Elephas maximus indicus: one gene and its partners. The protein of the gene in region 1 binds, or shares a complex with, the protein of each later gene. Links are inferred from orthologs where the notes say so. Each region holds a gene or a part of one and is shown in the gene's direction. Other genes may lie near its edges.

Evidence for each region.
Region 2: SNRPG (region 1) and SART1 share a complex: the UniProt entries of both Homo sapiens proteins name them as parts of the U4/U6-U5 tri-snRNP complex. The link is inferred for Elephas maximus indicus from reciprocal best matches to the Homo sapiens genes SNRPG and SART1.
Region 3: SNRPG (region 1) and RBM48 share a complex: the UniProt entries of both Homo sapiens proteins name them as parts of the minor spliceosome. The link is inferred for Elephas maximus indicus from reciprocal best matches to the Homo sapiens genes SNRPG and RBM48.
Region 4: SNRPG (region 1) and LSM4 share a complex: the UniProt entries of both Homo sapiens proteins name them as parts of the U4/U6-U5 tri-snRNP complex. The link is inferred for Elephas maximus indicus from reciprocal best matches to the Homo sapiens genes SNRPG and LSM4.

What each region holds. Positions count from the first base shown.
Region 1 is NC_064835.1:65,895,205-65,902,042, forward strand, and holds the start of SNRPG (small nuclear ribonucleoprotein G), read left to right. Parts: upstream 1-3,820; 5' UTR 3,821-3,915; coding exon 3,916-3,947; intron 3,948-6,838. Other genes in the region: protein FAM136A, read left to right, coding at 467-655. UniProt on the Homo sapiens protein: Plays a role in pre-mRNA splicing as a core component of the spliceosomal U1, U2, U4 and U5 small nuclear ribonucleoproteins (snRNPs), the building blocks of the spliceosome.
Region 2 is NC_064825.1:129,096,211-129,104,092, forward strand, and holds the start of SART1 (U4/U6.U5 tri-snRNP-associated protein 1), read left to right. Parts: upstream 1-4,882; 5' UTR 4,883-5,019; coding exon 5,020-5,332; intron 5,333-6,983; coding exon 6,984-7,041; intron 7,042-7,632; coding exon 7,633-7,688; intron 7,689-7,882. UniProt on the Homo sapiens protein: Plays a role in mRNA splicing as a component of the U4/U6-U5 tri-snRNP, one of the building blocks of the spliceosome. May also bind to DNA.
Region 3 is NC_064826.1:62,574,225-62,581,342, forward strand, and holds the start of RBM48 (RNA-binding protein 48), read left to right. Parts: upstream 1-4,101; 5' UTR 4,102-4,146; coding exon 4,147-4,257; intron 4,258-4,800; coding exon 4,801-4,991; intron 4,992-6,636; coding exon 6,637-6,782; intron 6,783-7,118. Other genes in the region: peroxisomal ATPase PEX1, read right to left, coding at 3,656-3,784. UniProt on the Homo sapiens protein: As a component of the minor spliceosome, involved in the splicing of U12-type introns in pre-mRNAs.
Region 4 is NC_064821.1:38,290,605-38,297,626, reverse strand, and holds the start of LSM4 (U6 snRNA-associated Sm-like protein LSm4), read left to right. Parts: upstream 1-4,004; 5' UTR 4,005-4,103; coding exon 4,104-4,106; intron 4,107-5,122; exon of another isoform or gene 5,123-6,409; intron 6,410-7,022. UniProt on the Homo sapiens protein: Plays a role in pre-mRNA splicing as component of the U4/U6-U5 tri-snRNP complex that is involved in spliceosome assembly, and as component of the precatalytic spliceosome (spliceosome B complex).

The sequences.
Region 1 (6,838 bases):
TTGTCATCAGCCAGCTCTGACTCATGGCAGTTCCTTGTGTGTCAGGATAGAAATGTGCTCCGTAGGGTTTTCAGTGGTTGATTTTTTGGAAGTAGATCACCACCAGCTCTTTCTTCCAAGGCACCATCAGGTGGACTCGAACTTCCAACCTTTCAGTTAGCAGCTGAGTGCGTTAACTGTTTGCTCCACTTGGGGACTCCAGCTGTACTACCCAAAACCAAACCCATTGTCGTCAAGTTGATTCCGACTCATAGCAACCCTGTGAGACAGTAGAACTGCCCCATCTGGTTTCCAAGGAACTGCCGGTGAGTTCAGACTGCTGACCAGTTAGCAGCTGAGTCAGCAGGGCCCCAACTTGCACTACAGTGTCTCTTTAATTGGTCAAGATAACGTATGTCAAGCCTGTAGCCCAGGGTAAATGGAGGCAGCCTCTCAGCCTTTTCTGCCTTCTTCCTTCTTACCACAGGACCGCCTGGCCCGGTGTACCATGCATTGCAATGACAAAGCCAGAGACTCAATGGATGCAGGGAATAAGGAACTTGTGGTGAAGCAGCAGCTGGAGAGCTGTGTGACCAAGTGTGTGGATGACCACATGCATCTCATCCCGTCCATGACCAAGAAGATGAAGGAGTCTCTCTCATCCATTGCAAAATAAAAGTCTTTGCTAGTGGCCATTGTGAATGAGGGCAGGATGGGAATTTTGGTTTTTTAAGTGAGGTTTAGGAATGAAGAAATTAAGGATGGCAGCAAGTTTAAGGACTATGTCACCTGGCTCTGTGGATGCTGGTTCTTTTATAGGTTTTAATCCATAGCAAGTAAAGTGGGAAAAACTGGTGCTAAAATTTGGGTTGTAGGTAGCACAGGAGAGTTATTTACAGCCTAAATTATATGTGGCAAGTGCTTATCCTAGCAGCTGTATCAAGCCAGAGCCTCCAACACACCAGATTCTGCTTCTCACATAAGTACCAACAGGCTGGCATGTTCCTCCAGCCTACCTATGACCTGGTGGTGTTTGAAGAGAGTATTTCTGTTTGTTGCCAACCTCCTGTTTACAAGAAGTATCGCCACCCCATTTTCCATAAGCTGTAAAACAGAATCCATAAGATCAGTAATGCAGAAGTGGAAAACAGAGATCTGGGTCTTTGTTTTGCTTAGTTTTGTTTTATATCCAAGAGCCTGATATTGATTAAGATGTCAAGCTGGGAGACAGGGTAGTTGGATGAAAACTTTGAAAGGCTCTTTGGCCATCTGACTGTCAAGATGTGCTTTTCTTGAAATTCTCATATATTGCACCTTTCAGCCTGGGACCGTGCAAAAACGGGAGACCGTGTCACACTGGGTATGGGAAGCAGAACTTCCTTCTCGCTGGCTGCTCTGGTGGCCTCTGAGGCTGTCTGCAGTAGAGTGACAGGACAATCTTGCAATGACACTACTCATTTGAAGGAAAAGGGGTTTTGATTGTGATACATACCAATATCTGGGAATGAATGATGAAAGAGAAACTGTCGGCTGCTTAATTAAGAAAGTTGTGCTGGATTTGGATAAACCTAGTTTTTCATATAACTGAATGAAATGAAGGCCTAAACCCAGCATTACTTACTTCTTGTTGTTTTTGTTGTTGTTAGTTGCCATCGAGTCGGGTCCAACTCATGGTACTTTATGTATAACAAAACTAAGTGTTGCCTGGTCCTGTGCCGTCTTCATGATCATTGGCATGTCTGAGTCCATTATTTCAGCTGTTGTGGCAATCTGTCTCATTTAGGGTTTCCTCGTTTTTGTTGGCGCTCTACCAACATAACGTCGTTTTCGAGTGATTGGTGTTTCCTGATGATGTGTCCAGCTGCCTGCTTAGCCCCCTGAAATAACAGCCCTGTTAAGCCAATACCTGGCAACATGAAAGTCAAGGGAGGAAAAGTAACTCAGGAGCTAGGGAGAGCTGTGGCTCCTTTCGAGCAAAGGAGGGTCAGCCCCCCATTACCAAATACCACTTTCTGCCTGAGGCCTCTGCAGTGCGCAGTGTTCCTGCTTCAGTGACGCCTTACCATTTTGATAAGGCCTTTGTCATCTTTCTACCAATTTATTACTTGAAGTGCTATTGTAGCCTGTCTGCTGTTTCATGGCTGTGATATATTTTCCTAGTGGTTTAATTAGAAAAAATAAATAAGGTTTAATTTTCCCCACACTATTGTGCTTCTTTCTTCATATCCGAACAACAAATGTGTACTTTCTCAGGGTGCTTCTCCTTGTAATGTGTGAAATAAGTTCTTAAGATGTCCAGAAGAGTAGTATTGATTTTGTGTTATGGTTCAGATGCAAGACAACTGTAAATGAGAAAAACTTTGAGGGAAGGTTGGGGCACTATGACTTGAAGCCCATTAATGGAAAAAAAAAAAAAAAAAAAAACTTGGTATCCATGTCAGGTCTCTAGTTTCAACTAAACACTAATGGCAACATGTGGAAAAGGTACACAGCTCTGACCCGTCTAGAGAAAATCCAATGTCTAGGATTGTGAGTACCAAAAGAATACAAAATAACTGATGAGTTTAAGTTCTTACTGTACTTGGTATTTCAGCAGGCGTTCTCGAACATTAGGAATGAATTTAAATTTTGGAGAACCACCCCTGCTTAGAATCAGCAAGGTATTTAAAGCAGAAATGAACTCTACTATTTTGGCCTAAGTCTTTTGTCATCCCCGCTATGTTTTACTCATAAATGTGGATTCTTCTGTTTTGGAGTAGCCTCACAACTGGGAACAAGTCAGGGACCACCTTTTACACTTGTGTGCTTGATGTGGAAAATGGGTACCTCAATACAGAGCTTTGTGTGCCACACCTCACGCTTCATATGTGGGGGCAATGGCACATTAAGCAGGGTTCTATGAATGACTACAAAATAGAGGCAGTGTTCCAAGAATTGCTGGGCCATCAATGGGGAATACATTTCAGGGCTCAAGATACAAATTCTTGGAGACTGAAGCCCTGTCACTCTAGTGGAGAGAGGTCACTAATTCATGCTTACTGCAACCCTGGATTTGACGTGATACTGTGCTGTGGTGATAAATGCCAAGGAAGCATTAGGGATTCGCTCCTCCAGGGGTGGGTGGAGAGAGTGGAGTTTCTGTGATGGAATTCCTGCCTTCCATGCAGGAGGTCCAAGCTCGATTCCAGGACAACGCACCTCATGCACAGCCCCCCAAAAACCAAAACCAACCCAGTGCCCTGGAGTTGATTCCGACTCACAGCGACCCTATAGGACAGCGTAGAACTGTACCACAGAGTTTCCAAGGAGCGCCTGGCGGATTCAAACTGCCGACTTCTTGGTTAGCAGCAGTAACATTTAACCACTATACCACCAGGGTTTCCAACTACCCTTTAATCAGTGGAGGCATGCGTGTTCCTATGATGCCAAACAGGTTTCAGGGGAGCTTCCAGACTAAGATTGGGAAGGAAAGCCTGGTTATCTATGTCCAAAAAAATCAGCCAAGGAAAAAGGTCCAATCTCATTGTGCACAGGTTCACCATCAGGGGACGGCTAGACGGCAGCTAGCCATAACTACTCCAGGGCTGTTTTCATTTGGTATATATATGACGAAGATGAACAGTGCCATCTACCCCGACGGGATTGGCTGGTGTAGCTCAGAAGCCAGACGGGACTATTATCTCAATTTCACAGAAGGGGAAACGGAATTGAGAAAGGCTGTCTAACCAATCCCTTACGACGCAACCGGAAGCTTGAAGCTCAGAGGCGCGTTCAAGCTTCCGGTAAGTATCGCGAGGTGAAATGTGAACGCTGCCATCAGTCCATTGGCTAACAGGATAGATGACGTCAGACGCAAAAGCGCCAGCCGACCGCCGGAGCGTGAGGGAGGGCGCGAGTTCTGTTTCAACGCGGCGCTGAACCTCCCGAGTAGCCACGATGAGCAAGGCTCACCCGCCCGAGTTGAAAAAGTAAGTAAGTGTCAAGGCCCAGCCGCAGTGGCAGCTTCTTTGCGTGCCACAGGTGCCTTAGGCGCCCCCTCCATTTCCCTTAGCGCGTCCCGGCGTGCGTAGGCCGAGTGGTGGGCATGGGCCCCTGCACCGCCCCTCGCTCCGGTCGGAGGCCGCCGGATCCCCGTCAGGGCCCTGCGCTTCGGAGCCCAAGGCCGCACGGACCCTGCGTTTCGGCCTGGTTGCCAGAAGCCGCGAAAAGCACCTGCATGCAGCCCATTTGCCTCCCTTGTCCCCGAGCTCCCGGCCCCACATCTCCACGGCCTTCCTCGTTACTTGAGGACCTCGACGCCAGCCTTTGTGGAACATCGTGAACAGCATCATGTTCTGGATAAGGTGGCTGGAATGGAAGTCTTTATAGGATATGAGGAGTCAAAAGCCACTTTCATCTTAGAGAGTGTGTTTGTGTTGATTGAGCATTTACTTAAAAATCCAATTCCTTTTTCTTGCCTTCTTGTACTTAAACTTTAACGTCTTGTGCTATTATCATCGGAATTATGAGAGAGCATTCATTTTTCTAATCGGGAGAAGGGTTGTTTCCCCCTCCACCCCCGCACCCAGTAAAATCAAACGGAACTTTTAAGTAGGATATTCCTGCTTTATACAGGACCCAGTTTGAAGCCTTAACCTCCTCAAACACTTCTTGAGTGAGCGTAACATGTTCCGTGTCTCCTGAGTACTTCTCTATATTGTTTATACCATGTAGCGCCAGAATTCTGGCTGTAGTAGTTGGATTGCACAAAGGGTTAGCATCCAAGGATCAGTTTTTGTGGGTCAGCCACCTGGTCTGCCTTATGTATAGTTTATTTATTACCAGCCCCTTAAAGAAGTCAGACTTGGGAAAGAATTGATATTTAATAATTTTACATTTAAATATACATTTGCATCAAAGCCAACTTTTTTACGAAATTTCTGTCCATTAATCTTAATTGGAGTTGTTAAAGGCTTAAGTATTAAATCATACTCCCAACATTAACATTAAGAAAAGTGGAAATTATTGTCGAAAAAACGATCATCTAAAATTATTTTATTGATGGGCTGATAAAATTTTGTATCCTCAGGATTTATCAGGACTTGATGAAATGGTAATTATTTTTTTTTAATAAAAGGATCATTCTACTTGTAATTTTAGATTTCTGATTCTTAGTAGATGTTATTTCAGAATTTGAGGATGAAACTAGTTTTGATACCTTGCTCTTCTAATCCCTTGATTTAATGAATTGTGAAATCCTGTCAGATCTGCCTCTAAAATGTCTTTAAATTTTCTTCCTCCTTTATCACAGATACCATCTTCTTTTACAACTTCATACCTTCTTCCTGGTTTAGGATAACTCAGTGGTTCTCAGCTTGGGGAGCGGGGTCTGCTGCTGCCTGCAGCTAACCGGCAGAGGCCAGGACAGCTTCTAACAACAAAGAATTATCTGGCCCCAAATGTCAGTGATGCTGAGTTTGAGATAACCCTGGCTTAACTGAATTCTTCCTCTTACCTCTTAAAAATTACAGCCACAGTGATGGACTCATTTTCTGCAGAATAAAGTCCAGACTCCTTAACACAGCATTCTTAAATCCACCACCAAGGAGATCATCCATTCTTATACCACTGATATTTGAAAACCTAGTTCTCCAATCAAACTGAACCATTTGTGTTTGCTGAGACTTTCTCACTCACCTGTTGTGTGACTTTGGAGAATTTGGTTAACCGTAATAAGCCTAAGTTTCCTATCCATAAAATGGTGGTAATAATAGTATATAACTGGCAGAGTTGTTGCTAGGGTTAAATGAGTTCATGTGTATGTTGTGACTTGTATAATATGTACAATGAAAATATAACCTTATGTATTATACTGTATAAACATTTTTACTGTAAATGTTTACTTACACCTTCTTTTAGGGTTTGTGACATATCTGTGAATTCTCCCATGATATCCTATACATTAAGTTTGAATGAAATTTTATATTTTCTAGCCTGAGAGTAACTGGAAAAGATAAAAATTGATTTGACTGCATGACTTAATAGTCTCATACAGTCCTGCTGAGATGGGATTTTCTTTTTTTAATTCAAATTGTTTAGTTTCAAAATATTTATTTTTGCAATGAGACCAGAAGAACTGGATGGTGCCCAGCTACCATTACTGAGTGTTTTGATCAAAGACTATAGAAGAATCCTGATCAAAAGGGGGAAAATGCAGAACAGAATTTCAAATTCTCATGGAATCCAGACTTTCTGGAGCTTTGAAGCTGGATGAATCCCGAGAACTATTTCCCTGGAATAATCTTTAAACTTTAAACCAAAAATATCTACCTTGAGCATTGGGATCAAATTGACAACAGCAAAAAGGTTAGGTAGGAAGCGTAGGGAACAGTGAGTTTGTTAACGGAGGAACAGTTCGGAAAAGGAGGGTGAAAATGGTTGCACAAGTTGCATGTAATCAGTGTCATTGAATTGTATGTGTAGAAATTGTCGAATTGGTGTATGTTCTGTATATATTTTAAAGAACAAAAAAGTTATTTAGAAGAAAAAATACACATTTGTTTTGCTCAGGTATACTTATGTGGTGAAGAATATCCTGAACACTTAAGCTTGGTATCTTAATATTAAAACGACTGTGGGCTCAAATATAAAATACCTGTTGAGTAATAGTTTGGTTACTCTCTGATGTCCTCACATGGTTTGTTCAGTTTGGGAATTAACCAAAATGTAACCAAATCTGCACTTTCTGTTAATGGCTTTAAAATACAACCACTGAAAATGAGGTCGAAATTGAGCAACAAAAATGTTTTTATAATTCACATCAGTATAAAGGTTTAGTTTAATGTAGATTAATATATTGTAAATACATTGCTTTTGTTTT
Region 2 (7,882 bases), on another chromosome or scaffold:
CACCGATGGCATTGATATGGAGCACCTACTGGGTGCAGCTGGTGCCAGAGCAGCCCCTTCCGCCCCTCGCTCCTTCGGTCCTGGGACAAGTGCTGCTGAGACAGAAGCAGGTTCCTGCCCTGCCACCATTGAGGACTCCGTTGGCCTCTGAGCATCTGCTCTTTGTGGCTCAGTCTCACTGCCACTATGTTACAGATGAGGAAACCAAGGCTCCCAGAGGCCAAGTGGGTTTTAGGGGAATCCTTGGCCAGTGATTAGGGAGATGTCTCCTCCTTGCCAGGCCTCAAGTTCAGGGTTGGTTTTTTTTTTTTAATAAGGCAGGGAGCCTAAGGTTCAGAAATCCAGGGGCAGATGCCAGGAGAAGAGGGTTTCACCATGCCCCATTTATTTTCTACTCAAGAGCGGGTTAAGGCATGAGCAGATAGTTCCCACCTGGTCTCTCAGCACTGCCTGCCCGTCAACTCTGAGCAGCACCGGAGGCCCACCCTGCTGAGGAGGGACAGGCAAGAGAGAGCTTTGGCCACAGCGAGGCCCCACGGACTAGGCCTGCCGCCCTCACCCCGTGATAGGGAGGTGATGTGTCCTCCTTTCGTTCCTGACATGGGCAGGGTTGGCCTCCCCCGGCAATGCTTGCTTTCTCATTTGGGGCTCTGAGAGGTGAGCTGCTTCTTATTCCTAATAGAAATGGCACAAAGTACCAAGCAGGAAAAATGCACATGACATCACAGGCAAGACAGAGATGGGTAGCCAGCTCATGCTCCCCACCCCGTAACTGCTATACATACTCTCTTGTATGGGAAACCCCCCCCCTTTTTTTTTTAGTGAAAGTTTACACATCGTCAGTCTCTCATACAAAACCTTCTATACTTGCTTTAGACTTCTAGTTGCTCTTCCCCTAATGAGACAGCACACTCCTTCCCTCCACCCTGTGTTTCCGTGTCCGTTCAGCCAGCTTCTGTCCCCCTCTGCCTTCTCATTTCCCCTCCAGACAGGAGCTGCCCACATAGTCTCATGCGTCTCCTGGATCCAAGAAACCCACTCCTCACCAGCATCACTTTCTGTCTTGTAGTCCAGTCCAATCCCTGTCTGAAGCAGCCCTCTGCTGCTCCTCCTGCTGCTGCCGCTCCCAGGACTGCAGCAGGCTTCTTGGGTGGAGAGGGGGAGGAAGAGGGATGGGAGAAGTCCTCAGGGGAATGAGAGTCTCAAGGAGGGTCAGGGGCTGGGTAGGGGAGTATGGGGACCTCCAGAGAGGAAATGTGGAAGCCCAGAGAGCCAAAGTCTTGGGGATAGGGTTTGTCATGACAGGGTTTGTTCCTGTCTTGGGCTAACAGAAAGTCTGGGGACCATGACCTCCAGGATCCCTCTGGTCTCGGTCAGACCATTAAGTCTGGTCTTTTCACTACAATTTGGGGTCTGCACCCCACTGCTCTCCTGCTCCTTCAGGGATTCTCTGTTGTGCTCCCTGTCATGGTAGTCATCAATTGTCACTGGGTACCACCTAGTTCTTCTGAAAACCCCATTTTTGCAGTAACTTATGTTCTTGGTTCCTGGGTGGTGCAAACGGCTCGCTCTGAACTACTCACTGAAAGATCGGCTGTTCCAACCCACCCAGAAGGCTGCAGAAGAAAGGCCTGGTGATCCGTTTCCATAAAGATTACAGCCAAGAAAACCCAAGAGAGCTCACTTCTCATTAGGAACTCTGGTGGCGCAATGGCTAAGCACTCAGCTGCTAACAAAAAGGGTGGAAGTTCAAACCCACCCAGTGGCTCTGTGGGAGAAAAGGCCTGGCAATCTGCTCCCATTAAGATTACAGCCTAGGAAGACAGGAAACCCTACGTAGCACATGGCCACCCTGTGTGTTACAGAGTAGAACTGCCCATAGGGTTTTCTAGGCTGTAATCTTTGTAGAAGCAGATTGCCAGGCTTTTTTTCTACACTGCTGCTGGGTTGCTTCAAATTGTCAACCTTTTGGTTAGCACGCAAGTACAAAGTTTGTGCCACTCAGGAACCAAACCCCACAAGAAGGAAGAAAACTGAGCCAAAAGCCCAAAGAAGGGCCGTGACTGGGCCAAAGTCACACAGCCAACAACCACAGCTTCCTCCCTGGAGCTGCAACAGGAGAGGGTGTAGGCATGTGGGACTGCGGGATGAGAGAGGCTGAGCAAACAGATGTCCAGGGGTCAGAACCCTGTCCTGACCCCTCTGCCTTGGGGGTGGATGGGAGGCCACGTGGGCCCTGGCTGTACAGCCTGCAAGTCCCCCACTTCCCAGCTGGTCAACCTTGGACAAGTCCCTCAACCCTCCTGAGCCTCAGCCTTCTCATTGGTGAAATGGGGCGAATAATTCCCGCCCTGATGACCTCACCAGGAACCCAGGGATGGGGATGAAGTGGCTTTATAAAGGTGGGGGAGGGGGAAGCAGAGCCCTTAGTGAGGACAGCAGACTCAGAAGGGGGTGGGTTGTGTCCACGGGACCACAGGGCCTGGGGGCAGATTAGCTGCCCTGAGGCTTGTCTCCGTGCAGGTGCCAGGAGCGACAGCGCTTTGCTGAGTACCAGGCAGAGCTGCGGGGCATCCAGCATAGGGTGCAGGCCCGGCCCTACCTGTTCCAGCAGGCCATGCAGGTAAGGGCCTACCTATTCCAGCAGGCCATGCAGGTGAGGGCCTACCTGTTCCAGCAGGCCATGCGGGTGAGGGCCTACCTGTTCCAGCAGGCCATGCGGGTGAGGGCCTACCTGTTCCAGTAGGCCATGCGGGTGAGGGCCTACCTGTTCCAGTAGGCCATGCAGGTGAGGCCAGCAACTGGGCAAGCAAATGACCTCCCCTGAGGACAGAGCATCTCCCAGCTGAATGAGGAGGGAAGCGAGATGGGGAGTGGGCCCTCTCAGAGCCTGGAAGCTCTGAGACCTCCTGCGATCAGAGCTCCATTGTGAGCTTGGTGGCCCCGGTGCAGGACAGGAACCCATCTTCCTTTTCTTCAGGCCAATGCCCGGCTCACTGTGACCCGGCGCTTCTCCCAGGTGCTGTCAGCACTGGGTCTGGATGAGGAACAGCTGCTGGCAGAGGTCGGAAAAGAAGACACAGAGGGCACCTCCAGGAAATCCAGGTGAGGCCGGCTGGCTGGCTAAGGAGCTGGCTCTGCCAAGTTGGGGGAGAGGGGGCCCAACAGGAGTGCTCAGAACCCTACAGAATCCCACCCCTACGTCCAGCCCCACCTGGACTAGGGCTGGACATCTTGCGAAAGGCTGGGGGAACCCCAAGGACAGCCATATTGATCAGCCCTGAATCTAAGCTTCAGTCCGTGCTGCCCTGTGCCATCCTTCTCAGTCTCCCTCCTGGAGGACTCAGCCTAGCCCCAGGGATCAGCAAGGCCTTCCCAGGCCTCCCGTCCTCCACATCACCTGAGGAAGGCAGGGCCTGGATTATTCTGCCCACTTCTTAATAAAGACAGGGCCTTGCCGAAGGACACAGGCAAGCAGCAGAGACAGTCTGGGGCTCCATGGCCATCTGCGGTGTAACACCCCAAGCTCCCATCACAGGGCTGGTGCCCCACCAGTGATCTCAAGTATACCATCCCTTACTCCTTACAATAACCCAGTACAGAAGGAGTCATAAGGCCCGCTTTACAATAAGGAAACTGAGGCGCAAGAAGGGAAGTCACACAGCACTCCAGTTGAGGAGCTGGGATTTGAACTCACATCGTCAGAGACAAGTCTTTCCCCTCCTAGAGCCCAGATCTCCTTGGGCATGGGAGTGGGGTGGGGATGGGGAGATGCGGCCTCTGTGTGTGGTCTTTAAGGAGTCATAGGTCAATAGGGGTGAGAATGGAGCAAACTTCTCAGAGCCTCCCAAGGACAGAACCCAGACTCACCAGAGCCATCCTGATAGACCCTCCACTCCCAGCCCAGACCCAGCATCTAGTCCTTGAGATAAAAATTAAAGGATTTATGGAAAATGCAATGTGGGATTTTGGGGGGAGGGCAGCTGGGGGCTGGAAATAGGAGGTGGCAAGTGGGTAGGCAGCAAGCTTAGCCTCTCCCCATCTGGTTGTCTCTGCTTTTGGGGGTGGGGCAGCTTGAAGGGGAACAGTTCTGACTCCCCCACCCTCAGTCTCTAATACATACTAACACATGCTGCATCCTAGGAATTCAAGGGTGAACGGGACGGACAAGGCCCTGGCCTTTGAGGACTCCCAGCCCAGTGGTGGTCATCACCGTGAAAGGGAAGCATACAACACACCATGACCTGTATGAGATGCGCCACAAGGGGAGCCACCAGAACCCAGAAGCCAGCAAGGCAACTGTTGGATGGAAAGTGTCAGAAGGGATTGTGTGTACTAGGCCTAAATGTCCCAGCCCCTCTTCTCAAGTTAAAAAAATATATATATATGCTTATACACACAACACACAGATATGTCAAATTTTGCGCTCAATTTCAGGGACTTTAGACACAGGCTCATTTGGAGCGCCTTAGCCGTTCACAGACTCCACTGAAAAAATCCAACCCAGGGGACGCCAGGAGGCTGCGTTTGGGGTCAATGCCGACTGTGGGAGCTGGGGGCTCTGGAGGAGGACACGCAGCATCGCCCGACACCTGAGGGAGTACACTAGGAGGACCCCTATCGAGTGGCAATGAGCGCCCCGTGGGGTGTGCAAGTGAAGGGGGCCAAGGAAAGGTTTACAGTTCTAGGGATGTTGGATTAGAACGCCTCTAAATCCCCGCAGCTCCGGGAGTCTACGGTTCCGGGTCTCCAAACCAGGTCCGGGAACCTGGCGGAGCGCATGCGCACTCGGGCCACCGGCGCCAAGGCCACCACCCCGCCCGAAGCGGCCGCGACTGCGCAGTCAAACTTCACTTCCGGCCTTCCCATGAGCCTTTGGGGTAGCCTCCAAGGCGAACGAGGGAAACAGTCGCTCTCGGTTTCCGGCAACAGAACAGCGGCAGCCGGGCGACCCGGAAGTGTTCCCATCTTGCGTCGTCGAGACTCGGCGGTGGCCGGGCTCGGGGTGGACGTGCCACCATGGGGTCGTCAAAGAAGCACCGGGGCGAAAAGGAGGCGGCTGGGACAACAGCGGCGACCAGCACCGGGGGCGCCACGGAGCAGCCGTCTCGGCATCGGGAACACAAGAAACATAAACACCGGAGCGGTGGCGGTGGCAGCAGCGGCGGCGAACGAAGGAAGCGGAGCCGGGAACGCGGGGGCGAGCGCGGGAGCGGACGGCGCGGGGCCGAGGCTGAGGCCCGCGGGAGCGCGCATGGGCGGGAGCGCAGCCAGGCCGAGCCCTCCGAGCGGCGCGTGAAGCGGGAGAAGCGTGACGACGGATACGAGGCCGGTGAGGGGCGGGGCCTCCGGAGGGGCGGGGCCAGGGTTCTGGGGTGGGGACGGGGTCCCGGTGCGTGCAGGCCCAGCAGGCACCCTCAGACTCTCATCACTAGCGCTTGATAAAGAGCCTTCCTGCAGTTGTTAGAATTAAACACTGTTTCTCTTTATACATCTCCACGAGACACAGAGATTATCTGTTTTTTTTAGTTTCCTGGCATATCACAGACCCTTAGTGTGTTGAGTGAATGAATGAATGAAGTGGGAACAACATGTGCAGAGGCAGGAGCAAAGCTGGTATTTGGCGGATTGTGTAGCGTTTATGGTAGAGATGGGAGGCTGTAAGATAGGCACTGAGTGGTTGGAATAAGAAGTGTCCGTAGACCAAGTTAAGAAATGTGAACTCCGTCCTGAGGGCAGTTAGAAGCTACGTATATGAGATGGGGAGTGAGATGATCGGATTCACGGTTTGTAATTATCATTGTCCTGGAAGCTGGGTAGGCAGGACTCGGGGCAGTGAGATCAGGAGTGCTGTAGACACTTGGGGGCTGATGGAGGCCTGCACCCAGGCAGCAGCAGTGGTATAGAGACATGTGAACAGAATGAAGAGGTGTTTTGAAGGAGGAATCAGCAGACCTTAGCGCTAGGATGTGGGTGGTGAAGGAGTAGCGGGTGACTCCTTGGTTTTGATTTAAGCACCTCGGTGAGATGCTGCCGTTTGTTGAAATGGGACAGGTCATGGGAGAAGCAGGTTTGTGGAGGAAGATCATTAATTTTGTGTTAGAGACTGTTGAGTTTGATGTCCAGGGTCTTGCCCAGAGAGGGCAGCTTGGGAATCATTAGTGTTTAAACCAAAAAAACCCAAACCCATTGCTGTTGAGTTGATTCCGACTCATAGTGACCCTATAGGACAGAGCAGAACTGCCCCATAGGGCTTCCAAGGAATGGCTGGTGGATTCGAACTGCCAGCCTTTTGGTTAGCAAGCCTAGTTCAACCACTGTGCCACCAGGGTTTCCCATGGGTATTTAGGCGGCAGGTAAAGCCCCCTGAGAGGGAGCATGGGGTGAGAAGCCAAAATAGGAAAGAGAACCTGAGAAATGGCAATATTTTAGAAGTGGGTGAAGGACGAGGGTCCAAAAAAAGAAGGTAGAGCAGCCAAAAAGGCAAGAGGAAAACCAGAAGAGTCTTGTGTCATGGGATCTCGGAACGAGAGTGTTTTTAGAAGGGAGCAATCAACAGTGTCGCACGTGTAGCACAAGAGAACAAGCAAAACCAGAGCTGAAAAGAATGCATTGGGTTTAGCAATCAGGAGGCTGGTGACCTTGGAGAAAGCCCAGAGGGGCTGGGATCCAGGGCCCAGGTGGAGAGGGGAATCTTTGGGGTAAAAGGGGAGAAGGCAGGTTGGTGGGGTGGGGATACAGGGAGATGAGCACGTGGTAGCAGCTGGTTGGGGAGCTCCATCTGATGGTGTCTAGCTTCTCTGTGGTATCTGAGGTTTGCTGTTCGTGAGGCTGGGGTGAAGGCCCAGGTCTTTGCTGTTTCCTGGGGTCTCTGCAGGGCCAGGTTCTGGTGAGGGACCCTCTTCTCTGCCCTCAGTTGGAGCCAGGGTGCTGGCTTCCTGGCCCTTTGCTCAGCTCCTGAGCCATGCTTCTTGTTTTTCCAGCTGCCAGCTCTAAAACCAGCTCAGGAGATGCCTCGTCACTCAGCATCGAGGAGACCAAGTAAGTCTAGGAATTTCTGCTTTTTCCTTCTGAGACAAGTGGCTTCTAGGTCAGCCACTTAGGGGGGCTTTCCTGTATTGAAGTGTTTTGATGAAAGCTGGACTGGCCAGATGAATCATCTTGGCAAACCATTTGGTGACAGAAGAGAAAACTGAAACCCAAGAGGAAGGGTGGCATTCCATGGGTTGGGGCAGGCCAGGCCCAGTGGCCATGCTCCCTGCTCTTGAGGCCAGCGCCTTTTCCAGTGCCCAGGCTGCCTGAGGCAGATCCTGTGTTTGGGAGACAGAGAAAAAACCAAACGGTTGCCATCGAGTCAGTTTTAACTCATAGAGTAAAACTGCTCTATATGGTTGCCAAGGTTGTAATCTTTATGGAACCAGACTGCCACATTTTTCTTCTGCAGAGCGGCTGGTGGGTTCGAGCTGCTGACGTTTTGGTTAGCAGCCAGGCACTTAACCACCGTACCACCAGGGCTCCTTCGGGAGCCTTAGGACCACTCATTCCCATTCCGTTTCCATCTTCTGTCTGTCCAGAAATGCATCTGATGCGCCATTTCCTGGCAGTCCCTAACACTGTGTTTCTTGTTCTCAGTAAACTCCGGGCAAAGTTGGGGCTGAAGCCCTTAGAAGTCAATGCGGTCAAGAAGGGTGAGTGTGGGGCTGAGGATGGGGCGGGGGAGGCTATGTGAAGGGGTCTTCGAAGAGAGGAGGATTAAAGCTTAGACTCTTCGCTGTTTGGCGGGCATGTGGTGTGCATGTGCAGGGGGGCCCCACTGGTCATTATGAACCATGGGTCACTGCATCATCACTCTGTGGTGAAGTGGTGTGACGTGGGCTGTGAG
Region 3 (7,118 bases), on another chromosome or scaffold:
AAAAGCAACTAGCAAGATGAGAGAGGAACCTTAGGGGGCAGTGAATTTATGTTAATGGGGGAAGAACAACTTAGTAAAGGAGGGTGAGAATGGTTGCACAATGGGAAGAATGTAATCAAAGTCACTGAATTGTACGTGTAGAAACTGCTGAATCACTGTATATTTTACTGTGTATAGTCTCAACAACAACGAATTAAAAAAAAAAAGGACAGGAAAGAAAGAAAAGACAAAAACATGTCAGAAGAGACTCTGAAACTTGCTCTTGAACACAGAGTAGCTGAAGTGAATGGAAAAACTGATGAAGTAAAAGAGCCGAACAGAATTCTTTCTAAGGGCAACCAGAGAAGACAAAGTATTATAATGAAATGTGCAAAGATCTGGAGTTAGAAAGCCAAAAGGGAAGAATACACTCAGCATTTCTTAAGCTAAAAGAACTGAAGAAAAAATTCAAGGCTCAAGTTGTAATACTGAAGGACTCTATGGCAAAATACTAAATGATGCAGGAAGCATCAAAAGAAGATGTAAAGAATACACAGAGTCACTGTACCAAAAGGAACTGGCTGACATTCAACCATTTTGGGAGGTAGCATATGATCAAGGACTGGTAGTACTGAAAGAAGTCTAAGCTGCACTGAAGGCGCTGGCAAAAAACGAGGCTCCAGGAATTGACAGAATACCAACTGAGATGTTTCCACGAACATATGCAGCACTGCAAGTGCTCACTTGTCTATGCCAAGAAATCTGGAATACAGATACCTGTCCAACCAACCGGAAGAGATCCATATTTATGTTTATTCCAATGAAAGGTGAACCAACAGAATGTGGAAATTATCAAACAATATCATTATCACACGCAAGTAAAATTTTGCTCAAGATCATTCAAAAGTGGTTGCAGCAGTACATCAACAAGGAACTGCCAGAAATTCCAGCCAGATTCAGAAGAGGACATGGAACAAGTGACATCTTTGTTGATGTCAGACGGATTTGAGTTGAAAGCAGAGAATACCAGAAAGATGTTTACCTGTGTTTTACTAGCTATGCAAAGACGTTCAACTGTGTGGATTATAACAAATTATGGGTAACTCTGTGAAGAATGGGAATTCCAAAACACTCCATTGCACTTATGCAGATACTTGTACATAGACAAAGAGGGAGTCATTTGAACAGAACAAGGGGATACTGAGTGGTTTAAAATCAGGAAAGGTGTACATCAGGGTTGTATCCTTTCACCATACTACTGAGCAAATAAGCCAAGAAGCTGGACTGTATAAAGAAGAACACAGCATCAGGATTGGAGGAAGACTCATTAACAGCCTACAATATGCAGATAACACAACCTTGCTTGCTAAAAGCCAAGAGGACTTGAAGCACTTACTGACTGTCCTAGTTATCTAGTATTGCTCTAACAGAAATACCACAAGTGGATGGTTTTAACAAACAGTTTATCCTCTCACAGTCTAGTAGACTAGAAATCCAAATTCAGGGTGCCAGCTCCAGGGGAAGGCCTTTTCTCTCTGCTGGGTCTGGAGGAAGGTCCTTGTCATTAAGGTTCACTTGGTCGAGGAACTTCTCCACCCAGGAACCCTGGGTCCAAAGGATGCACTCTGCTCCCGGTGTTGCTTTCTTGGTGGTATGACCTCCCCATGTCTCTCTGCTCACTTCTCTCTTTTATATCCCAAAAAAGATTGACTTAAGACACAACCTAACCTCATAGAATGAGTCCTGCCTCGTTAACATAACTGCTGATAATCCACCTCATCAACATCATTGAGGAAGGATTTATGATACATAGGAAAATCATATCAGATGACAAAATGCTAGACAATCACACGATACTGGGAATCATGGACTAGCAAAGTTAACAGATATTTTGGGGGGACACAATTCAATCCATGACACTGATGAAGATCAAAGACTACAGCCTCCACTATGAATTACACCTCAGCATAAAGAAAACAAAAATCCCCACAGCTGGACCAATAAATAACATTCTGATAAATGGAGAAAAAATTGAAGTTGTCAAGGATTTCATTTTACTTGGATCCACAATCAATGCCCATGGAAGCAGCAGTCAAGAAATCAAATGACATACTGCATTGGGCAAATCTGCTGCAAAAGACCTCTGTAAAGTGTTAAAAAGCAAAGCTGCCACCTTGAAGACTAAGGTGTGCCTGACCCAAGCCATGGCGTGTTCACTGGCCTCATTTGCATGCAAAAGCTGGACAATGAATAACAAAGATTGAAGAAGAACTGACACATTTGAATTGTGGTGCTGGCGAAGAATACAATATACTATGGACTGCCAGAAGAATGAACATGTCTGTCTTGGAAGTACAGCCAGAATGTCCTTGGCAGCAAAGATGGCAAGACTTCATCTCCCATACTTTGGACATATTATCAGGAGAGGCCAGTGTCTGTAGAAGGATATCATGCTTGGTAAGTTAAGAGGGTCAGCAAAAAAGAGGAAGACCTTGGATGAGATGCACTGACACAGTCGCTGCAACAATGGGCTCAAACATAGCAAGGATTGTAAGGATGGTGCAGGGCCCAGTAGTGTTTAGTTTTGTTGTACATAGGGTTGCTATGAGTTGGATCCCGCTAGATGGTACCTAACAACAACAACAAAGTGAAAAGGTGAGATACTTGACATTATTGCAAATTCTTAAAATATTTCTTGCATGAATTATCCAGTGTGGATACCATGCATTCAGGGTTCTTCAGGATTTAAAATAAAATTTTATCCTTTTGCCCCCATAAGCGCACTCATACTTTGTGAGACCACATGCCTGTATGTTTAATTATGAAAACACAGATGCTGTATTTCTGCCCGTGGTTGGACTAGCGAAACACTACAACATCCAAGTAATCTTTCCAAGTATACCTAATTCCACTGCACGTTCTGGCACATGGCGGCGCAGGGAATACCCATCATTTTATTAACCTTTCTGCTTTCCGCTCCTGGGAGGTGTTCAGCCCGTTAACACACAATAAAAACCAAAACCATTTCCATCGAGTCCATTCCGACTCATACTGACCCTACAGATGAGAGCAGAACTTCCCCATAGGGTTTCCAAGGAGCAGTTGGTGGATCAGAACTGCTGACCTTTTGGTTAGCAGCCGTAGCTCTTAAACACTGTGCCACCAGAGCTCCATTAACGTACAGGGACTCCACAAAGTCTGTCTCCTCCCTCTCGAGGCCCAGACAGCAGCAGTGCAGGTACCTGGAAATCTCTGGCAGGGAAAACATTTTTAAAACGATAAAATAAGCGACTTTTCAAAAGCTTTCCCAACGCGGAGTGAGAAGTATTTCTGAACGCAGAGGTAGACTTTTTAAAAACAGGTAGAGGATTTTTAAAAGCCCAGTTTCACCGAGTGAGAAGACTTGGGATAAGCAAGGTAACTTAATGGCCCGGGGCTGCACGAGGCATGGGGGTGGGTAGCATGGACTGCTCAGACCGCCCTGCCCTCGAGGGGCCTTCAATCTGACCTCTGCACTGGCCAGCGGCGCCGGGAAGCCAGTGGTGCCCCTGTAGGCTCCCCCGCAGCGGAGAGCCCTGAACAGCTGCCGTATCCCTACAAGGCCTCGGCCACCTCCGACTCCAGGCGACTGTCGCGGCGTCCCTGGTCCGGGCCCCGCCCGGGTCCGGAGCGTTACCTGCAGCAGGTGCAGCTGGGCCACTAGACGCCGAGGCAGGTGGAGGAAGCAGTCGCGAGCGTTGGTGAAGGCCACTGTCACGGCTACCCCGCCTCCCCCCGCACACGCCAGTCGATCACTGCCCCACATCGCCGGCGAGCACCGCTTCCGGGCCGCCCTCCCTAGAGCCGGGGCCGACCTGGGACGGGACAGGCGAGGGCCTCGGTCCCGGAGAAAATCGATTGGCCCTTCCCCCTCTCCGGCAGCGCACCCCACCGCACGCCTGAGGGGGTAGAGACAGGCTAGCCTTCACTCACCCTCCTTGGCTCTCCGCCGCGCCACTAGGGGGCGGCATCTTGTTCACCGTATCTTCTCTCGCAGGAAACGATGGCCGACACTGTCGATGCTCCAGCCAATCCGGTCACGTCTTGACGCATCCCGCTTTCTTATTGGATGAAAGGGAGGTCAGCAAGGCAGATGTTGTCTTCTCTGCGAGTGCCGAAGCTAACAACATGGCGTCGAGTAGTGGGGAGCTTGGGAGCTTATTCGAACATCATATCCAGAAGGCTGTATGCGACACGCGGGCTAAGTATCGGGAGGGACGACGGCCCCGCGCCGTCAAGGTAAAGTAATTTTGTTTTTTTCGCTTTCTTGGTAGCTTTACGTATGTGTGCTCGCTCCGCCTTCCTAAAAGTGTAAATAAAGGCTTGACAAGGCTGTTTGTTGTCACGTCCGTCCCTCATTGGAGTTGAGTGTGAGTAACCGCGAAGCAGGCACCAAAGCTCTCTTTTAGTCAACCACTAAGACGTTAGCTCTGCATAAGCAGGATTTTGTTTTATTCCTTGTATTTTCCGTGCTTCAACAGTGCACGGCACGTGGAAAGCACTTAAATATTCGTCGAGCGAATCTTCCCAGAAACATGAACCGCTTCTACCGATCTAACGTCTGGAAAAATTGTCGACTGAAGGTAGACTGATGTGTGCTTTAGTCCGAGGCCCTCAAACGTAGGGTGAATTATTTATGCAGAACGTGGCAAAGTTTCTGATTCTGTATGTTTTCTGCGAACTGTGCTGAACAGTATGTTTTCAAAGCTGTTTAAAAAAAAATAGGACGTTTGTTCTAGGCTTATTTGTGAAGTATGTTTAATGAATCTGCATTTCTTTTAGGTATATACAATCAATTTAGAATCTCGGTATTTATTAATACAAGGAGTTCCAGCAGTGGGAGCCATGAAGGAATTAGTTGAGCGATTTGCCTTATATGGTACAATTGAACAGTATAATGCTCTAGATGAATACCCAGCAGAAGACTTCACAGAAGTTTATCTTATTAAATTTCTGAATTTACAAAGTGCAAGGTAATATGCAAGTTAAGCCATGTCTTATTTCCTCCATTCCCATTGCTATCACTCTGGCCTCAGATTTCCCTCATTCTTACCTGAACTAATCCTGTATTTCTCATATCATCCTTCCGTCTTCTTAAAGGTTATTGTTGTGGTGGTGTTTGTTAATTGCCACTAAGTCAACTCTGACTCATGGAGACCCCATGTGTGAAGACTAGAACTGTTCCACAGGGTGTTCAAGGCTGTGACCTTTCAGAAGCAGATGGCCAGGCCTGTGCTCTGAAGCATCTCTGGGTGGGTTTGAACCACCAACCTTTTGGCTGGTAGTTGAGTGTTTAACTGTTTGTACCACCCAAGGACAGTTTCTTAAAGGTTAGCCTTACCAAAACACTGCTCCCATCATGTCATTTCCATGCTTAACCATTTTTTACAGTGTAGTATAGTAGGCGAGAAATTGGGTTTGGAGTAGATTTTCCAGTCCCACTGCTTTTATGACTTTGGACCAGTTATTTAACCTCTCTAAGCCTGTTTTCCTCTTCTGTAAAATCCATTTGTAAATCTCTTGAGGTTGGGTCAGGATGAAATCAGACAATTCATATAAAGCGCTTAGCATAGCACCTCCTATTCAGAATGCAGTAACATTAACTATCGACGTTCTTATTGTTATGGCCGTGTGTGGATTGACCCCATCTTATCCAGCTTGCTGTGTAATTCTCTGCTCCAATAAGGCTGAAGTATGAAATGCCTCATCTGTTTTTCATGTTGACCCTTACTCTTGTCACTAATCTGCTCCAAGAATCATTCTTCCCTGGCTAAAACAGTTGATATTTTTTCGGTACTACCAATAGCACTCATACTATGTCACAAAAGCACTTGATTCTATAGGATTATGATTCTTTTAAGGCAGCTCTTTTATGTAATCTCATTTCCCAGCCATCTTGCCAGCACCCCATGGTGTTTTTTAGAGCTTTTGCATCTTCTACAGCACTTAGTGCAGTGAACTTTAGATTAGACATCTGGATTTGCATATTAGCTCCACTGAACCAGCTGTGTGACCTTGCCAAGCTATATAATCTCCCTGTGCCTCTAATTCACCATTGGGTTGTTTTGAGGTGTAAATTCACTTGAAGCACTGGGGACACTGTCTGGCATGTGGTAAACAGTAAGTGTTTCTTATCGTTATCCCTGGACACAGTAGTACTATATTTACAGTACCTATTATTACAATATTTTAAACTACTTTTTAATGTATGAATCTGATTATAGGAACACAATGTGCTAAAGAGGCTAGTTTGGGTATGAACTGATTCTCAAGGGCTATTTAGCTTAACACAGAGAAAAGCCCTATTTCATGGCTACAGATTGTGTACCTCAGGCCAGCCAACTAGATTCTAAATTGGCTAAAGGAAGTCTGGGTATATGTGGATAGCTTAAAATCTGTTAACACTATTGGAAGAGGTGGCAAAAGTCACCAAAAGTATGTACCACAGTCCTGGATCAGTAGGGTTAGTACCACCCACAAGCAGCACATCTTAATTTCCAAACCAGAGGAGGTGTGGGCACATAACAAAAGGTGGACTTTGCTCTTTAGGTCAACCTATTGTATAATAGTTAAGCTTAAATCTTGATTAATAAACCATGCTATCATGTATTTGTTTAGGACAGCAAAGAGAAAAATGGATGAACAGAGTTTCTTTGGTGGATTGCTTCACGTCTGCTACGCTCCAGAATTTGAGACAGTTGAAGAAACTAGAAAAAAGTTACAAGAGAGAAAGGCTTATATAATAAGAACTACTAAAAATAAAGGTATGGAAAGTCTGTTTAACTAAACGCTTCCTATATGTCAGGTACTCTACTAGGTATACCACCATGGAGTTCCCATGGAAGGAGAGGCAAGTAAACAATCACAATATTAAGTAATTGTAAGCCACAGGCTTCTGTGAAGCACTTTACGTAAACCGGGCTGGGAAAGGAGACATGTTGGTTCATGGAAGATTTCCTACAGGATGTGAGAGGTGCCTGCGTTTTGAATAAGTAGTAGACGTTAGCTGGAAGGAGAGAGGAAGAGATGGGAAGGTAGGCTAGACTGCATGTTTAAAAGTAAGACATACCGAATAAATGAATAGGAAAATAAGAATAGTG
Region 4 (7,022 bases), on another chromosome or scaffold:
CAAAACCAAGAAGCACATGAAAAGATGCTCAGCGTCATTAATCATTATTATTGTTAGCTGTTATCAAGTTGGCTCTGACTCATGATGACCCCATATACAACAGAAGGAAACGTTGCCCGGTCCTGCACCATCTTCACAATCGTTTGTATGCCCAAGTCCATTGTTGAGGCCTTTGTGTATTTTGAGTGCCTTTCAACCTGGAGGGCTCATCTTCCAGCACCATGTTGGACAATATTCTGTTGTGATCCATAGGGTTTTCATTGGCTGATTTTTAGAAATCAATCTCCAGGTCTTTCTTCTTAGTCTGTCTTAATCTGGAAGCTCTGCTGAAACCTGTTCACCATGGGTGACCCTGCTAGTATTTGAAATACCAGTGGCATGGCTTTCAGAATCGTTGTTGCTGGTAGGTGCCATCGAGTCAGCCCTGACTCAACGGAACAAAACATTGCCTGGTCCGCCGCCTTCCTCACCATTGTTGCTATGTTTGAGCCCATTGGTGAAGTATCATAGCAATACCAAAGCCACCACAGTATGACAAACTGAGACAGGTGGTGGCATTAACCATTATTGTTGTGTGCCATCGAGTCGCTTCCGACTAATAGCTACCCTATAGGATACAGTAGATTGCCCCTAGTGTTCCCTAGGCTGTAAACTTTACAGAAGCAGACTGCCAGGTCTTTTCTCCAGCGGAGGCACTGGGTGAGTTCAAACCACCAACTTTTTGCTTAGCGTCTGAGCATTTAATCATTGGGCCACCAAGGCTCCTGGTTGGTACAGGTAATTATTTCTCTTTTCAAGGAGAAGGGAAGGAGACCACTTGCTCCTTCTGCCGGGTGCTCAGGCCCTTCTCCCCTCAGCCAGGCCCCAGAGGAAGAGGTTTAGTGCCTCCTGCCTAAGCCTTTCTGGTGGGAGGCATCTAGATCTGCAAGTTCCAGTCCCCTCTGCCCAAGTCTCTGCGGCCTGGCACAGGGGAATCTTTTATTGAGAAGCCGAGCTCTAAGGGCTTCCTGTGCAGAGTCAAGCAGTCCTTTCAGCCAGAATCCCTGGCCCAGGGCTGGATGAGAAAAAGCTCACAGGCTGTTCCTGAGGCTCAGCTGGCCAGGAGAGGTGTGGGCCTTGAAGGGGGGTACCTATTGCTCCGTTTGCAAACCTGACGGCATGTGGCCAGAGGCTAGAGCCCTGCATGGCCACCCAGCCGGGACTCTCCTGGGACTGAGGCTGCAGTCACGCTCACAAGCGTATGAAACTACACAGGAGATCACCTGGGAGCAGAAATTAACTATTCAAATAGACATCTACGTTTACAGGAGTCATTATAGCTAACACCTGCTAAAGCGAGTGGAGCTGTTATTGTTGTCTTTTGCCTCTTAGTCAATTCTAATTTACAGCAACCCTGTGTGTTACAGAGTAGAAGTAATCTTGGCTGTAATCTTTATGGAAGCAGAATGCCAAGCCTTGCTTTGGGTGCTGCTGGGTGGGTTTAAACCACCAACCTTTGGGTTCCAGCTGAGCTCAGTGTGTGCCACCTAGGGACCTTATCATCAGAGGGTCTCTGTTGACTCCACAGCAAGTTTTAAGGAGTCCCAATGGCACAACAGATAAGCACTCAGCTGGTAACAGAAAGGTTGAAGGTTCAAGCCCACGCAGCGGCTCTGCAGGAGAAAGGCCTGACAATCTGCTTCTGTAAAGATTAAAAATTACACTCAAGAAAACCCTATGGGGCAGTTCTACTCTATCACATGGACTTGCTATGGGTTGGAATTGACTCGATGGCACCCAGCAACAATACAACAGGGTCTTGTGGATGGGGTTGTTGTTGGGTGCGATCGAGCCAATACCGACTCATAGACTCATAGTGACCTTATGTACAACAGTAAGAAACGTTGCCAGCTCCTGCACTATCCTCATAATTGTTATGTTTGAGCCCATTATGGCAGCCACTGTGTCAATCCATCTCATTGAGGGTTTCTCTCTTTTGTGCCACCAAAAAGATATGTCCATAAGGTGATTACGAGCCCAAGAGACAGCAAGGGCCATATGAACCAGAGACTACATCATATTGAGACCAGAAGAACTAGATGGTGCCCAGCTACAACTGATGACTGCCCTGACAGGGAACACAACAGAGAACTCCTGAGGGGGCAGGAGAGCAGTGGGATGCAGACCTCAAATTCTCGTAAAAAGACCATACTTAATGGTCTGATTGAGACTAGAAGGACCCCGGTGGTCATGGCCCCCAAACCTTCTGTTGGCCCAGGGCAGGAACCATTCCCGAAGCCAACTCTTCGGACATGGATTGGACTGGAGAATGGGTTGGAGAGGGATGCTGGTGAGGAGTGAGCTTCTCGGATCAGGTGGACACTTGAGACTATGTTGGGATCTCCTGCCTGGAGGGGAGATGAGGCGGGGGGGTGGGTTAGAAGCTGGCAAAATAGACACGAAGAAAGAGAGTGGAAGGAGAGAGCGGGCTGTCTCATTAGGGGGAGAGTAATTGGGAGTGTGTAGCAAGGTGTATATGGGTTTTTGTGTGAGAGACTGACTTGATTTGTAAACTTTCACTTAAGGCACAACAAATATTATTAAAAAAAGATATGTCCAAGTCCTAACCCTGAGCACCCGTGAATGGGATCTTGTTTAGAAATAAGGTCTTTGGAGATGTCATTAAATGAAAAATATCGAGATTATCCTGGATTTAGGGTGGGCCCTAAATCAAACACAGATACATAGATCGATACCTGCCATCAAGTTGACTCCAACTCATGGTGATCTATGTACAACAGAATGAAATGTTGCCTGGTCCTGTGCCATTCTTACTATTGCCAGTATGTTTGAAGCCATCATTGAGGGTGTTGTGTTAATCCAACTCACCAAGGGTCTCCCTCGCTCTTGCTGGCTTTATACTTCATCAAACATGAGGTCCTTCTGCAGCGATTGATCCCTCCTGGTAGTGTGTCCAAGGCAAGGGAGTTGGGCAAGGTTCTGTTGTGATCCATAGGTTTTTCATTGGCTGATTTTCAAAAGTAGATCGTCTTTCCTCCTAGTCTGTCTTAATCTACAAGCGCTGCTGGTATCTGTCTACCATGGGCAACCGGGCTCGTATTTGAAATACTGGTGGCTTACTTTCAGGATCACAGCAACACACAAGCCACCACAATGTGACACACTAACAGACAGGTGGTGGAAATCCAGGGACAAGTGTTGTAAGAGAAAGGAGAGGGAGAACCTCCAGAAGGAATCAACCTAGCCAATGCCTTGATTTCAGATCTCTGGCCCCAGAACTGCGAAAGAATAAATTTCTGTTTTTAAGCCACCAAGTTTGTGCCCATTTGCTATGGCAGCCCCAGGAAAAGAAAACATGTACCTATTTATCATCTCGCTGACTGGCTCCTAAGCCCCTGGGGGACTGGGAGTTTTGTCCATTTTGTTTAATAAATATTTGTTGCATGCACATGTTTTAAGTGCTTACTATGTGCCAGATACTGTTCTAAGTGCTTTTTCATGGCTTAACTCGATTCATTCTCACCTGACCTTCTAGAGCAAGTACTATCATTATACCAGTTTTGGAGTGGGGTAACTGAGGCTCGGAGAGGTGTGAATGGGGTTCCAACGTACTAAAACACGTGCCCTAAATAAGTATCAACTTTGCTCGTGAGAATTACAAGACTAGCGGTCCCGAAGGGCGACGCAGAGCCGGACTGAACAACCAAGGGGCCTCGAGGTTTAGTCATTGGCAAACGGAAGGCAATACCAGGTTTGCCCACCGCGTGGCGCCCAGGAGACTGGCGAGGGTGTCGGCTTGCGCATGCGTCCTTACCCAAAATGCCGCTTGCACAGGCGCGCCTTGCTTCACGCCCTTTCGCAGCATTCGTCGTAGGACTTTACGGCTTTTCCTGCACGAACACGGCTTCGCCCCGCCCCTCGCGCAAATAGGCTCCGCCCACCTCCGCGGGGAATGGTTGTCCGTTCCCCAACCCCCGCGGTGATTGGCTCGTGTATCTGCCAATCCTCTTTAGCCTAGTGGCGCGCAGTGGGGCTGCTAACAGCACGAGCGGCGGCGGCGGCGGCGGCGGAAGTGGCCGGCGAGCCCGGTCCCCGCCGGCACCATGGTGAGGGGAGGGCGACAGCGTGGTCGTGACGGCGGGGTTTCGCCGGGAGGCGGGGGGACGCGAACGCCAGGGGCCCTCGGGGCGGTGCGGGGAAGAGTGCAGTCCCGGCCTCGAACCCCGCCCCTGGGCCCGTGGCGGGAAACTGAGGCCAGGTTCTCCAGCAGGTCGGTCTCGGGCGATTTAGGGCTAAACGGACGTGCAGTCATCCTATAGCAGCCTGACCGCAGTGCTTTGCATTTCCCTGAGGGGGAAACTGAGGCCCGAGCGGTTGTGAACCCGCCTAGTGCACCGTGAATGCCGCAAAATGGGTTTTCGGGTAGGGAAGGAGCCCCGACCGCATAGAGTGGAAACTGGGGTGCGGGGAGCCAGTGTGAGTTCTCCAGTTAAGCAGGTTCCAAGGATTTCAGGGCTGGAACGTGCCCAGTATGATAGCAGTATCTCTTGTCTTGCCTTCCGTTTTCAGGCTGGAAAATAGACCTAGAGAAGGGATTGCCTTTTCCTGAGTCATACAGCCTGTCGTTTCTGGGTAGATTCGAGCTCAGCGTCGACTAAATGTATTCTCCTGGTTCACAGAATGAAAAATTGAGGCCCAGGGAGAGTGCACGTGTTTTTTGGGGGCTATGGACCCAATAGGCAGGAAAATGGAGGCCCAACGCAGAGGAATTTCAGCAATGGGAGAGGGCCCTCCCGTTTTAGGGAGAGAAGTAGAGGCCCTCGGTGGAGAAGTGACTTCTAGTGTCCACTCTGGGAGACAGGAATTCTGTAATTGGGAGCCACCCGAGGTGTCACTCCACATTTCTCAGAGCTAAGGGCTGTGGTGAGCTCGCCCTAAATCCTGCTGGCTGGTGTAGAGACCAAGAGAAGGGAACAGGCATCTCTGCTGGACAGAAACAGAGATGGCACAAGGGCTTGGGCAAAACCAGAAAGACCTATCAAAAATTAAGTTCCGTGAGGCAGGATATTTGTTCCAATCCCTGATGGGCCCCCTAGAGACTAGAGTCAAAACCAAAGCTTACCTTGCAGTTGTTTCCAGCTTATGGTGACACCACGTGTTACAGAAGAGAACTGTGCTCCATAAGGTTTCTTGGCTGTAATATTATGGAAGGGGATCTCCAGGCCTTTCAGAGAACTGCTAGGTGGGTTCTAACCGCCGACCTTTAAATTAGCAGTTAAGCACAAACCGCTTGTACCACCCAGGACCTGGAGCCTAGAACGGGCCTTTGCAAAGCGTGGACTCCATGCTGTTCCCACTTTTGAGACATGGACTCTTTGAGCCCTGACCCTCCAGGCATTTCCTAGCTCAGAGAGTGGATGCATTGAGATGCATTCAGCCTGTGGTCAGGGACAGGCTGGAGGGAGGGTCCTGGATGAGAAACCATTGGAACTCTTCCTCAGTGGGTCTAGACTTGAACTCCAGGTCCCAGACATCTGAGAAAGGAATGATTTTTCCTCAAAATTTTGTGATTTTCCTGCCTCATGGTGGCCCTGTCTCCCCTGAACCAGCCTTCTCCTGTCTTACTCAGCACTTTCACGCATCTTCCTCTTTCCCACGAAGTTTCAAGTCCTTGAGGACCCGGCCCGTTTATCTTGCTTTTCTCTCCAGCACAGTTTGGGGACAAGAATGCAGAAGGAGGCAAGACAGGACCACTGCCCACAGAGAGCTGCCTTGGCTGGAGGTCAGCAACCCCAATCCTGGCGCCTCCACTTCCCAAATGTAGTTATCATGTGCTGTTGTTGAGTTGACCCAAAGTCACGGCAGCCTTATGTACAACACAGTGAAACATTGCCTAGTCCTGCATCCATCTCACAATCACCAGCATGTTTGAGTCCATCCTTGTGGCAATTATATCAGTCCATCTCACCGAGGGTCCCCCACACCCTAATTGGCTCTGTACTTCACCAAACATGATGTCCTCCTCCCGCAATTGATCTCTCCTGAGAACATAGCCAAAGCAAGCAAGTTGGACGGTATTGTGTTATGACTTGTAGGGTTTCCATTGCCTGATTTTCAGAAGTAGATTGTCAGGTCTTTCTTCCTAGCTGGCTTAGTCTGGAAGCTCCTCTGTAACCTGTCCGCCGTGGGTGACCCTGCTGGTGTTTGAAATGCTGGTGGCATAGCTTCCGGCTTTGCAGCAACATGCAGGCCACCACAGTAGGACAAACTGACAGACGGGTGGTAGTCTCCCCATCTAAGTCCCTGCTTTTCCTTCTATGGGAGGGGACAAGAATATCCCGATGCATCTTGTGTGCTTACTTGAGGAATGTGCGTCGTTTATTTTTTCAGTGAATGTTTACCTTGCCCGTCTCCTGTGCCTGGCACTGAGCTCAGCAAAGCCCACGCCCTCTGAGCTCTCCAGTCTAGCAGAGACCTGGCATTTCCAGTCTAGCCAGGGAGGCAGTTGATAAACAAACAAGCTAATTAGAGACTGCGTAAGTCTCTAGATGGTGACAAACAGCGGTATGTGAAGTGGAAACCTCAGGTCCTGAATGAGGTTATTAGGAATGTGTGCGCCGACACTGTGGGCAGATCAGGGGAGGGGGCAGGGCAGGTGGCCTGGGCAGGAGTGGGGAGCAGGAGGCTGAGTAGCTGGAGCTGGGCGGGCCTGGCTTGGGAAGCACCGGGGAGCCTACTGGAGGGTGGTGAGCAGGGTGCGGCTGACCCCATTTGTGTCCCAGACATTCCTTCCACCTGCTTGGTAGGGAGGGGACTGTCTTCCCTGGCTGCGCTGGGCCACGTGATGCCCTGAGGGTGGCCGTCACGGGTGTGGGGGTCCCGCGAATGCCATAGGAGGATGTCCAAATTGTATGGCCACAGCAGACATTAGCCTCCCTCAGCTTTCCCCGGGGCCTGGCTGTGTCCCTAGCAGGTCCCTCTTCTGGGTGCCAGATGCCCTGTGAAGTGAGGGGATTGTGGCC